3 linked regions of the Drosophila melanogaster genome follow. The protein of the gene in region 1 purifies or fractionates together with the protein of each later gene. This does not show direct contact. Each region holds a gene or a part of one and is shown on either strand. Other genes may lie near its edges.

Evidence for each region.
Region 2: the proteins of LpR2 (region 1) and boca purify together in Drosophila melanogaster (affinity purification with western blotting, with the first as the bait; one study listed by BioGRID). This does not show direct contact.
Region 3: the proteins of LpR2 (region 1) and CG8507 purify together in Drosophila melanogaster (affinity purification with mass spectrometry, with the first as the bait; one large-scale study listed by BioGRID). This does not show direct contact.

Annotation. Positions count from the first base shown.
Region 1 is NT_033777.3:25,737,351-25,742,254, forward strand, and holds the start of LpR2 (lipophorin receptor 2), read right to left. Parts: upstream 3,116-4,904; 5' UTR 2,895-3,115; intron 2,273-2,894; 5' UTR 2,261-2,272; coding exon 1,705-2,260; intron 1,340-1,704; exon of another isoform or gene 677-1,339; intron 1-676. Other genes in the region: LpR1 (lipophorin receptor 1), read right to left, coding at 4,630-4,662, 4,804-4,904.
Region 2 is NT_033778.4:7,565,300-7,568,732, forward strand, and holds boca (boca), read right to left. Parts: upstream 1,440-3,433; 5' UTR 1,364-1,439; coding exon 1,214-1,363; intron 1,052-1,213; coding exon 659-1,051; 3' UTR 574-658; downstream 1-573. Other genes in the region: Rpe (Ribulose-5-phosphate-3-epimerase), read right to left, coding at 1-185; Vps13 (vacuolar protein sorting 13), read left to right, coding at 1,966-2,065. UniProt on the Drosophila melanogaster protein: Chaperone specifically assisting the folding of beta-propeller/EGF modules within the family of low-density lipoprotein receptors (LDLRs). Acts as a modulator of the Wg pathway, since some LDLRs are coreceptors for the canonical Wnt pathway.
Region 3 is NT_033777.3:9,789,858-9,793,742, reverse strand, and holds CG8507 (uncharacterized protein), read right to left. Parts: upstream 2,261-3,885; 5' UTR 2,174-2,260; coding exon 1,952-2,173; intron 1,898-1,951; coding exon 1,682-1,897; intron 1,620-1,681; coding exon 1,409-1,619; intron 1,348-1,408; coding exon 986-1,347; intron 931-985; coding exon 802-930; 3' UTR 645-801; downstream 1-644. Other genes in the region: CG8516 (uncharacterized protein), read right to left, coding at 149-291; CG12945 (uncharacterized protein), read left to right, coding at 2,653-2,904, 2,972-3,217, 3,283-3,423, 3,478-3,605, 3,659-3,789, 3,862-3,885.

The sequences.
Region 1 (4,904 bases):
AACATAACAAAAACTATTCATATTTCGATATGATGGACTAAAATATTCAGATTAAAAGCGACTAACAATGGTGAAATGGTCGATACTATGCCCTGATATTTAATCAGGGTCTATTGTATTTTTGGTTCTACACTGTACTTTTAATTTGCGCAAATAATTGATTATTCAGCAATTTTCTTACCAATTTGAATGTTTGAATGTTTTGAATGTTCTTTGAATGTTTTACGTAGGCCTTTATGTAAACTGCCTGCTTATTCAATGTCATTTACAAACAGCCGCGTTTGAAGCTAAAATTACTTCGTTAGTCAATCTTCTGTTTATGTTTTTTTAAAGCTAAGCCATATTTTTTAAAGTGCTTGAATTACTTCTGGGTGGGGGATAATCAAAATAGATATCGAGATCAGCTTGGTAACAACAAATGTTTATAAATAAGTCGAGCTACTTCCAGTTTATGTTGGAGTAGAATGTACATATATCTGCCACGTGCTCGGATCGATTTACAAAAAAACGTTGACCAATGTGCAAGGCCAAGAAACTCCAAGAATCGGCCACTTGTTGCTCTTTTTGTTCTCTGCTCCCCCGTCTACCACGGTTTCTCTCCTCTTCTCTCTTTCTCGGTATTCTCTCTGTACATTTCACAAGAGCCGCCGGAGTTTAAGTCTTCAAGTGGCGCTCCATTCGCTTCATGTAGCGATGCCGGCCGGTACAAAAAATAAGCATAAAATGGAATAATTATAAGGGGAAGCAGAACAAGCAAAGAGTGTACACCGAAAGAAAATGCATAAATTCTGAACTTTAAAGAACCCTTTTTTTTAATGTCATATATAGCACGCCAAAAAGTATGCCACACTCGATTTTATCCCGGTACTTTAGTCACTTTAAGCATGAGTTTTAGTGGAACTTTTATTACAGTGTAAGCAGAGGCGAGTTGTAGAGGAAAGTAAAAGGTTTCTGCCGACAAAAAAGAGCACGGAGCATGGGGAGAAAAGGGAAAGAGCTCTGCAGTCTGGAAATCGTATGACGATGTGGAATGTTGGGACATGGAAATGGAAGTGCAGTTTACTGGCATTGCCAGACGCTTTGGCTTTCGGCTGGCAACAAAATTCACATAAATAAAACTTGAGCCGAGTCAGTCGGAGTCGGAGCCTTAGCTAAAATCGGAGTCGGACTGGAAATCGGGGTATGCATACGTATGTACACATGGCTGGTGGCATGATCGCCAGAAATGAGAGAGTTGGAGTTGGAGCCACCAACTATAAACACCGCATCCCCTTACACTCGGAGAAATCGAAGAAGATCCGACAAAGTCGAACCATGATTACGAGCCTTAAGTGTTTACAACTCTCAATTAAGGCTGCAAAGTATATTGTGATTTAAATTATTTTTCAGTTTAAATTTTGATTATTCTGCACTTTAGTTTTGAATTTTATATTCATAGCTTTTTAATAGATATTTAAAATACGGCAACTCTTACAAAAATGATTAGTTTTGATATGATGGAAAGCTTAATTTGTGACGTGATGTTAATAGTTGACTAATTCTAATAATTCGCCGGCAATATGTATGAATGTTTAAGCCTTTCATGAATCATAAAAATAAATACAAGTTGATAAAAAGAGTGACTAAAAGATTTATAACTACAAATACCTCTAGCATTTAGAACTTCTAGGAATAAACCATTTTTATGGGCTTGTAAAAACTTACATATGTCCAAAGGAGTGCCGATTTTTCCTGACACATTCAAGAACTTTAAAGGATTTCCGTTTAGCACCGAATTAATGGAACTGCCAAAGTGTCCCATCCCGATTCCCATGCCAGATCCTGTACCAGGACTAATGCTGTTGGCTGCCGCAGGAGCCAGATGCTTCAGCTGATCGAGGGTGGGTCCCAGAGTACTGGCTTTCAGACGCTCTAGCAGCGCCGATCCGCTCAGATTGTGCATTATCTCGCTGGCAGTGGGCGTGGCAGCGGTCACATGGGCGGCATTTACCGCCGCCGCATTGCAGAATTTGCTGATGCTCAGTATGCAGGTGATGAAGAGCAGGTGGAACGATGAGGTGAAGCTGAAGCTGATTAGCTGCTGCACTTTGCTCTGGTAATGTGTGCTGGCGCTGTAGAAGAAGCCACTGGTTTTGGACGGTTCTCTACAGCCACTGCTGCTGCTGCTGCTTCTGCTGTTGGCACTTTCATTTGTTGTTAACTCTGACTGGGTGGTGGTTTGAAAATATTCCGTGAAATGCGGCATGCAGGTTGTGGCCATCTTTTGCAGCTGCTAGAATATATATACGGTAGAAATTGCACTTTAGGCTCAGTGGGTCACACACGCTTTTCACTCTGGTTCGATTTGCCAACTTATTTATACACGTCCATTAAATAATAAGTTTAGGCGAATACACGCAACGTTTGCCAAAAAAACGTTCACAAAAGTGAGAGAATGAATCGACTGTATCGGGATGAGAGTGTAAGGCATAGGTACGATAAACATGCGGAAAAGGCGATGAAGGGAAAAAGAAACATACGATGTTGCGAAAAAACAGCATAAGAGCACAGAAAACACGAAATACACACATAAAACTGCAAGCTAAGGGCGACGCCTTTGGTCAAAGCGAGGGTTAGCCCCTTATGCTGTCCCTCTCACTCATTTTAAAACATTAAAATAATTTTTTATTTGGATATATCTGCTATCAGCGGTATAACGGTTGATAAGCCAGGTAAGCCTGGTAAGTCATGCGCAGCCACTACCCATTGACACCATTATTCCAGCTCGGAATGGGTTCTGGTTGTTCAAATCTTGTATTTACTTTATTGAATGGCAAAACACATGTTGGACTAAAATTTATGCTGTTTTTTCACATGACATATTGACGTAACGTTCGGCCAAAATAGATTCATACATTTTTTTTTAATTAACACTTATTTCCGCTCGACAAATGCGATGAGCTGGCCTTAAAGCCCCGGCTTGAACTTTTTTTTATTTGCTTTGAACTTTTGCTTTCCGAAACTTTTTTCGCATTCCGAAATTTCTCGGTTTAACGGTGAAGTTATATCCAAAGCATGGGGCGTATGAGCGATAAGCGACCAGCGACGACCTAGCGACACGCACTGCGAGTACAAACTGCCGGAATATCGCTTCCGAAGTGAGCGGACCAATGGAACCGTCTTAGAAACTTCGGCAGTGCTCGTCTTTCGTTCGGCAACGAACCGACGATCGCCACGCGTACCATATCACACCTGCGAAGAGAAAAGAGAGTGTCGACGTCATCATCGGGGGGAGCCCCAAAGCGTTGAAAATCAAAAGCCTCGATCTCCAACACAAAGAGAAGACAAAGCTACCAGTGCGCAAATAAGCTGACATTGAATCAGAGCTAACAGGTGGTTCTCTCTTCGGCCGCTCTCTTAGAACGTGTATCAATCTATTTTGGAGGTGTGTTCCACTATTTGTCGTTTCGGCATCCAATTAGTGAGGTAGCAATTTCTAAAATTACAGGTCTAAATTGTTTGTTGGCCCGGGTCAATCAGTCAAGGCTTCGATTGAAACTAGTAATGGGCTTTGTAGCATAGACACACGTAAATCACAATTGGTCAATAAATGTTAAACCATTTACTGTAGCGGAAATTGATCTATTGACAGCACCTGTACCTCTGCATTTCAATTCATAACATGGTTTCCATTTGAATAACAAAGATGCTTGAGAAACACGATGGGCTTTTAGCAAGTCTGGATATCATCAAAGTGTAAAATCATCAAGCTTTGATGAATTATTCCCCTTCGGTACATTTCCAATTGAGATTTCTTCAAGGAACAGAAATATATGTGCATTTTTAACAGCTGTGCATCTGAAGATGAAACGAAATGCTACAAATTCAGCAAAAAATTGTAAATTGGACAATGTTGGAAATAAAAACTGGAAAAATAGCTGGCAACTTACCACTCACACTTTGAAATCAATCAAATTAAAATCCCATCCACAAAGTCATGTAATTATATCACAGGAGTACGCTACACATAAGTATGTTCTGAGTTTATTATTCATCATATTTTCTTTTTAGTGGGGAAACATATACATATGTATGTACACTTAACAAATACAGTTAACAAAAGGCTAATACGTATGCAGTAATAATTTTAATATAATAAAACGACTCTGCTCCTTGACAACAGAAATATAATTTCTCAACTTGCTCTAATAGTAGACCATAAGCACAATGATCTCTTTGTCATGTTTACGTATAGTAATATTAAGTTGCGTCATTTAAAAATAATGCACACTTACAGCTATATACAGTTTGGAACTATGTAATTTATAATTAGCAATTAGATTTCTCGTTTCCTTTTACGTTTCTCGTAACTATTTCTGTTTTGTTTTTCTTTTGTTTATTTGTGATAGAACTCTGCGACATAGTATTTTGTACAGCATCCTTTAAGGATGCGCTCCAAGGTGACCCGCCGTCCTTGCCGTGCCTTAAAATTTTAAAATAATTAATTTACACAATACACAGAGTTGCTCAGTCTTCAGGCGTGTGTGTTTCTGCCGCGGGTCTCGAGTTAGCATTGGTCATCTAATTTTCCCAGCGACCAAGCGCAACAATCATCCAATCCACATTTCACACGATTCCAGAGGAATCAATCTAATACGAGGATATGCCTATGACGGGTGAGTACTGCAAGATAAATTAAGATAAATTATAATAAGTATACCGATTAATATTATGGAAGGGAAATTAAATCATTTGCGGGTGTGTTAAACCCAATGCTTATCATTATACTTGGATTTTTATGGTAATTAATAATTGGAGACCCACCTCCTCATCCATGACACTGGTGTGGTCGTAGATCCGCGCCGGCAGATTTTTGCGCAAACTGAAGTGATCCTCTGTGGTGGTGGTCTTGCGGTAGATGGGGT
Region 2 (3,433 bases), on another chromosome or scaffold:
TTGATCTTGTTGCGCAAGCTCTTGACCATGGGGTGACCAAAGGTGAGATTCGGCACAAAAGTGCCGTCCATCACGTCCAGATGCAGGTAGTCCGCTCCATTGTCCAGTAGTTTCTGTGACTCCGCCGCTAGGTTGGAGAGATCCGCATTGAGAATGCTGGGACCGATCTTGGCTTGGACGGGCATCTTCTTGGTGGAACAGCTACTCAACAGGCGGAGCAAGTAGAGCACGTCGCGGTTCGCGGGTGGCGTCTTGTTGACTTAAGGTCACACAGAGGGGAGCTGGAGCTCGAAACATTTGAAAGGCGATACGATAACTTTGCCGATGGCACCGTGAGTTGTGTAGTTGGTCAGCGATTAATTTAGAGTTTTGCTTAAATTTTTCATTTATTTTGTTTTTGATTTGACACATACGCAGTGTATATAAACAATCTAATAGAGATACAAATATTATATTCAAAATATGTTTATTGAAATATTCATATTTTTATCCATATTTATTCCATCCCGCAAACGGAGCCGTTTCCCTGTGAATGGCCAAGCAAAATACATATGTAGCTTCTTTAATAAGTTTGTTTAATAAATTTGTTTTATTTTAATTGAACTTTGATCTTAAATAGTGAGAATGTTTTGATGTGCTGGTATGCCGTGGAACCGGCCTACAGTTCGTCCTTTTTCGCATTGACACCTGGGTACTCCTTGTTCTCGATGGTTACGCCCTTGCAGCGTTCCTGCTCGATGAGGAAGTCCTTGGCGTCCCAGGCTTGTGTGCCGTCCTTGAAGAGGAAGATGGCGCGGTTATCGTCAACCATGTAGCGCTCCGCCTGGATGTGGTTGTTCCAGAGGCTTGTCTGCCAGAGCTTGGTGATGGTGTCGCTCTCCTCCCGGGTTGGATTACCGGTCACCGAAACGAAGGTCATCAGCGTGCGCCCCTTTTTGGACACCTTGAGCAGGTCCTCGGGGCTCTTGCTGTCCAGATTGCTCAGGTCCAGCTTGGGCTGGGGGCGCAGGTGCTCGGGCAGCTCATCATCCTCGAGGGGCTCTTCATCTTCCTAAGAGAAGATTAAAAGAAGGGGTATCAGTTATCCGTCTCTACAAATGATGAATCCTTAGATAGGTGGGAATCTAAAGGGTTGGCATTACTCCCTTGCTAGGTGCGAATCTGGAGAGTTGGGTCCGATGTGTCGCTTTCCAATCGCAGTGTTGTTACCTACCTCCCATTGATCTAGCAGACGCTCGAGGTCCGCCTCGCTGTAGTCGCGTATATCCTTTTTGGCCCACGCCGGTTTCTCCTCCTCCTTGAACTTCTTGGCCAGGACGAGCGGGGTCAGAGCTAGCAGCAGCAAAACAAGACGTGTTTGCATGGTGTTTTATAAATATTTTTCCTATAGCTCAGCAATTCGCACGGTCAAACACGTCACCTAACAGTTTGCCATTCGCCCGGGAACGCGACCGAACAGCTGATTGAGCGTCCCCAGGTGGAGAACGCAAACGGAAAACACAACAGCTGTTAGTTTCGGGCGAGCATTTAAAGAACGCGCATCGCACGGAGTTACTACTTTTTTGTCGCGTGGAAATGCCGCTGGTAATTGGGTGCAGTAAATAGAGATAAGAACGGGCGTTGCACACGTGCTCTGGAGTGGAGTAGTGAGTTAATCGCACCAGCCCTACTCCAGCTGACCCTGGACAATCGTTTGGCTTGTTAGTTTATTTTGGAACAATGGGCCTGGCGGATTGTGCCAAAATATTTGAAATGCGTTCAACGATGACATCATCGACATTGTGTTTTAATCCGTCTCTCCGTTCCATCTGTTTGGTTTCTGTGTTTACATATGCATGTATTTTAGATCAACTATAGACCGCACAGCGAACGCCAGATTGTTTGAAGCACTCACCACGACCACATCAATTGGAATAACAACCACAAACTTGGAGGAAAATCAATAGGAGCATCTGCTAGGACACAATGGTCTTCGAGGCGGTGGTGGCCGATGTGCTGAACAAGGTGCTCGGCGACTACATCGAGAACTTGGACCGGAACCAGCTGAAGATTGGCATTTGGGGAGGTGAGTTCCAGTTCCCCGGAGAGGATGACACCATTCTGCTCCACCCTCACGCAAAAACATCGCCTTACTGCGGTACCCATTGTTTATTGGTCTATTTGCACGCAAGTGCCCAGAAAAAACAATGATGGCGGTGACCTTATCCTTGGCAAAATACTATTAATGACCTAATTTCGTCGCTTCTAAGTGAGCCGTATTCGCAAGTTCATGCGAACCCAATGAATTCTTCTGAGAAAGAGAAAAGACGGAGGAGCATTCAGACTTCGAGGGGTGGGACAACTGTTGCATCTTGCTGTGCGATAGAGCAATTCTTGTGGTTTCTCTTGGCTCTCCATGAGCTCATTTAGTCTCTGCCTTTATATCTTTTATTTACAAATCTACTTGTATAGGGTTTCTGTGTGAAACATAAACAATTCTTCGGTCTTTTATCTGAATGTACTCACTTCACTTCATGTTAAGTGGGTTGTAAATTCCACTTCACGAAGACAAGTTTGCGACAAACCCAGTAAACGGGTTTGTTCAAAGAGTGACGTTCGGCGACAAGCCTGTTTTAATTCGGCTGATCTTGAACTTGGTGACATAATGCCTTGCGTTCATAAATTCATGTTAATTAGCATTTTGTTTTAAACTTATATAAGAGTATTTCATTCAAATATGCTTGAAGTAAGAAAGACCGGGCTTATGCTTCGTTAGAAATGAATGAATATATGCTATAAAATGATATTTTCTCTACAATACCTAAATATTTTGAATAAAACTGATTAGCTTAACTAATCAAAAATGACCTAGTTAAGTCAATGGAATATGTGTGTATATATTGCTTCTATGCAGGGTATATTATTTATATTATATTATTTGCCCAATGATTCATATTTGTTTTCATTTTGCAATTTACAAGTCAAGCGTGTTATATGTACATATATTGTAAAATGCAATCAGGTGAATAACTCTTCTTGTTTATTGAAGCAATCTAATTTAATCAGTTGTTACAACACTGTTATCAGAGTAACTTATAATTAATACTCTTGTATTTAATGTCGATAATTGAACACCACTTGCAGAATTATGATTATTGGCCAGATATGAAGTTTGTAAAGTAAGGCCAAACATGTTCCTATCAGTGCGATTCGACTGGCCTCAAATGTTGGATAACTTTAATGGGGTCGCTTGGTCGTTAAACTATTGACACACAAGCGTAATTCAATGTATAGTATATTCACCAATTGTGCTGCCCATTTTGCATTCCAAGCATAACAAACACTTAACAACTATAAATGCCGCATGCCCAAAATGCCAGACATTGGTAAACAGTATTGACATATTGGTGCGCCCGCTGCTTTTTCCATTTGCGTACTTAACACTTTGCAAAGC
Region 3 (3,885 bases), about 16 Mb from region 1:
ATGAGTGCATCCAACTGGAACTGGGCGGCGTAGTGTTGGAGAAAGAGACCCACTTTCACTCTCTCTCTGGCCTGCACCGCCCTGTTCCCGCTAGAGCCATCGAAACGATGTGGATCCTCTGATCCTCTGGGTATTGGGGAGGACTTACTTAGGGATCCGCTTCTTGCAGCAGAGACAAGCGCCCAGCATAACGATGAAAGTGAGCGTCAGGCTGACGGTCGCCAGGAGGTACGTGTACGAATTTGGGGCCTCCAGGTGCAGTTCCGACGTCGACGCCTCCACCATGCCCATGTCGGTGTGTGTACATATGCACTATGTACCCATAAAGCGCTGGCACCGACCGCTGCACATATATATATTAACTTTTTAAACTTTTCGCTTAGCTAATATTTTCTTGTTTTTTGGCCCACCAAACGAAACGACAACAACAATAATGCGACTGGCATGCGGTCATACTAGGTGCGGTCCTACTGGGTGGAGGGAAATACGCGTTTTGTGCCTGCTATCATATGGTCACACTAATTTTATCGTTTTTTTTAACGGTTTATTCTTAACCCTATATTGTACTTTGAATATATTACAAATTTATTTTTTCCACATTGAATTTTTTAAAGGTCAAAATAGATTGTATATAGTTCAAAATTAAACTTGAGATTTTATTTATGTTCAAATGATATTTGGTATCAAAATTATATCTATGCTGAATAGCAGCAAGAATGAATATTTTTGTGCGTTACACAAACAGTTGCAATTAAATCTAATTTATTCGCTTGGCACTTTCAGTGTTTCACTTTCAAATTATTAAAGCTCGGTGTGCTTGAAGATGGTTTTTTCAATGTTCTCCTGGAGCTTCTCCACTTTGCGAGTTTGCTTCTTCAGCTGATCCTCCATTTCCTCAAAGCGGCTGCTTTTGTCCTTCACTTTTTCGCCCTATAAATAATTGTTAGTTGGCTTACAAACTTGATTGATATTAAGAAACATATACCTTGTATTTCTCCTTTTGCAAAGCATGCTCGGCATGCAAGTGACGCAGCTTTAATAGGCGACTTTCGAAGTGATGCAATTCGGTTTTAATGGACTCCAGTTCTTTAACCGTAAAATTGCTAGCCTGGGCCACTCGCCATAGACCCTGGACCTTGGGTTCAATGAAGTCCTGACTGTGTGGACCGGAGGACACCAGGCGTTCCAGCCTATCGTAGTGATCCTTGATGCCCGTGTGATGTCCTCGCAGAGTGTTAAGGTCGTTCTCGAAACTCTTCACGTTTTGCGCATGGGTTTTGATGTCGTTCTCATTGACATCATTCGAAATCAGATTGTAGGTGTCCAAGTCTTCCGTGTTAATAGCATCTAACGAGAATAATCAATGAAATTAATTGATGCTTTTCGTGCTGTTTTTAGCCAAACTCACTTTCATGCTTGTCGGTGTCTACGGTGCCAATGTTTTCCAGCAAGCTGTAGTACACATCCACTTTATCCTGGTGATGGTCAAACTCCTGTTTCAAGGATTTCAATTCCTCTGCAGTAAATCCGGAAATCTCGGCCTTCTCCCAAAGTCGGTTGAGTTTCTTGTCCTTGAAAAGACTCTTGTTTCTGTGTCGCTCCTCGGCGTCGTGGAATTTCTTAAAGTTAACTTGGATGTAGAGAAACTCTTGCTCTTAGGAAAGATGATTTAGATACGTACCTTGTAGGGCTTAAGCTTCTCCGTATCCTGAGTGTCGTCAAAATGCTCTAGCAGATCGTAGCTGCTCATGATGCCAATGAGCTTGCGGCGCAGTTCGTCGGCCTTCAGCCCGTCTTTGTCCTTGTGCTGCGAGTTGAGCTGCTTCCAAGCGATCTCCTCCTTATCGTGGATCTTGAGTTCCATGTACAGTGACTTGAGCTTGGGCTCTGTTAAGCGCTGTAACCGAGGTTAGTACGGTTAAATATGAGATATCTTATGGTGTCCACTTACATTCTGCGCCTTGGCCCACACGAGATTCAACTTGGCCATGCGAAATGGCCGCTGGATGCTCTTAAAATCCGGATCATACTTCTCCTGCTTTACTTGCTGAAAATGCGGGTCGTTGGCCTCCTTGCTGTACTTCTTGCTCTGCTTTTTGTCGGCATCCACGCCCTGCAGTGCAATAAGTACGGAAAGTGCGATGGCTGCAACAACGAGAGCTGACCTAACCATTTTCCTCGTGGTTTTTATTTCGGTTTTAAAGCTTGCAATTATTGGTGCAGTGCTGACCTGGCTAAACAGTTATTCACAACACGCAGTGTGGCCATCTAGCGATCGCATAAAGCTTTGGTGCTGACAGTCTAGCTTTTATTTTATTTTAATGCTTTGTTTTTCGCAGTTACGATTTTTGATCTTGGTCAATTTACAACAATTTGTTTGATTTATTTGATAAAGATGTTTAATAAAAATAATTCAATTTGCAGTAGAAGTGAAGAAAAATCATAAAAGCATGTTTGTCTAATAAATATAAAGCTACATTTTCCTGAAGTGATAAGTAGATATTGCAGCACTGACGTGACGCTGTGATGTTGCTAACTGGACTTGGTCACACTGCCAATTTGCATCAGCCGCCTTACCACGAAATTGCGCTGAATTATAATTATTATCGAGTGCTTACTACCTAGGAGTGATTACATTGAGAAACCAGGACAATGAGAACGGAGGCAGCGGTCAGTTGTTTCCTGTTGGTATTGCACAGGGTATGCTGTCAGAGCGGCAACGATGAGTCCTGGCTGAGTCCGGATCCCGCCTGGTCGGACCTGGTTAACGATATCAATCAGCCCGGTGAATTGTGCCAGTGTCCTACGTGTCCAGATGTGTCTCCAGTGGCCATGGAGGATGCCGTGGCACTCACATACTTCAAGAAGTTCGTCAATCTGCTGTTCCAGCGCAAGCGTTTTCAGGTATGATCGCTGTTTAGACCAAAGTTGGCGACATGACGTCATATGTGTGTAACTTTTGTGTAATTAGTACGATGTTATGTCGGCGGTCCATAAGCGATCGCTGCTCTTCTCCCTGATCCCATCGCAACTGGATGAACTGGAGAGGGTGCAGGATGCTCGGGATTTGGACGTTTTGCTGACTAAGATATTGGAGAGTGCCGAGGAGGCTCCTTTGTTTAATGGAAGATCCGGATGCTCATACGTCCGACACGGCTTTTTCTCCTTATTGGTGGATATTTTCAAGGATGTAATTGAACTGACGCAAACGACCGAGGTACCTGTTGCGCCTTTTTATGGAAACTTGACTATTTGCTATTTAATGGGTTTTCTCATTCCTAGGTGAAATTTATCCTATATGCAACATTAGCAATTGCACTTGTCGTCATTGTGCACAAACGTTTCCGTGTCGGACTAATTTCAATTGTACTAGGAGGCGTGTTTCTGTGCGGATATATTCAGACTTATTTAGAATGCAACAGAGTAGGTCTAGCCTGAAAGTGTGTGAAATTGTGCTCATTATATGTTTATAATTAGGAATTAGACATCGATAGGATGATAGAGGTCGTAAATCATCACCATGAGCCTGAATCGTCCTGGTTTGGTCGACTGTTAGGCTACATATACCAAGCCTCACCAAAAACTAAGAAGATAGAAATGATCAAGTAAGACCATAACATATAATTAAATAAGTCGATTGATGATCGTTTCCATTCAGAAAATCCGCAAAAATCAGCATTTCCATTTGCATGCCAGATCAAGTGTTCTTTATGTACATGAATAACATATTTATCAAGCAGTTGGAAATCATGATAGAAAAGGTGTCGGTAACTATGACTAAACTGTCCTGTAAGTATTTAACCAAGAATTCGCACAGTCAATAATTACCACTTACCACTTAATTACCATATTTACCCATAGCCGGATTATCCTTCCCGTATAACC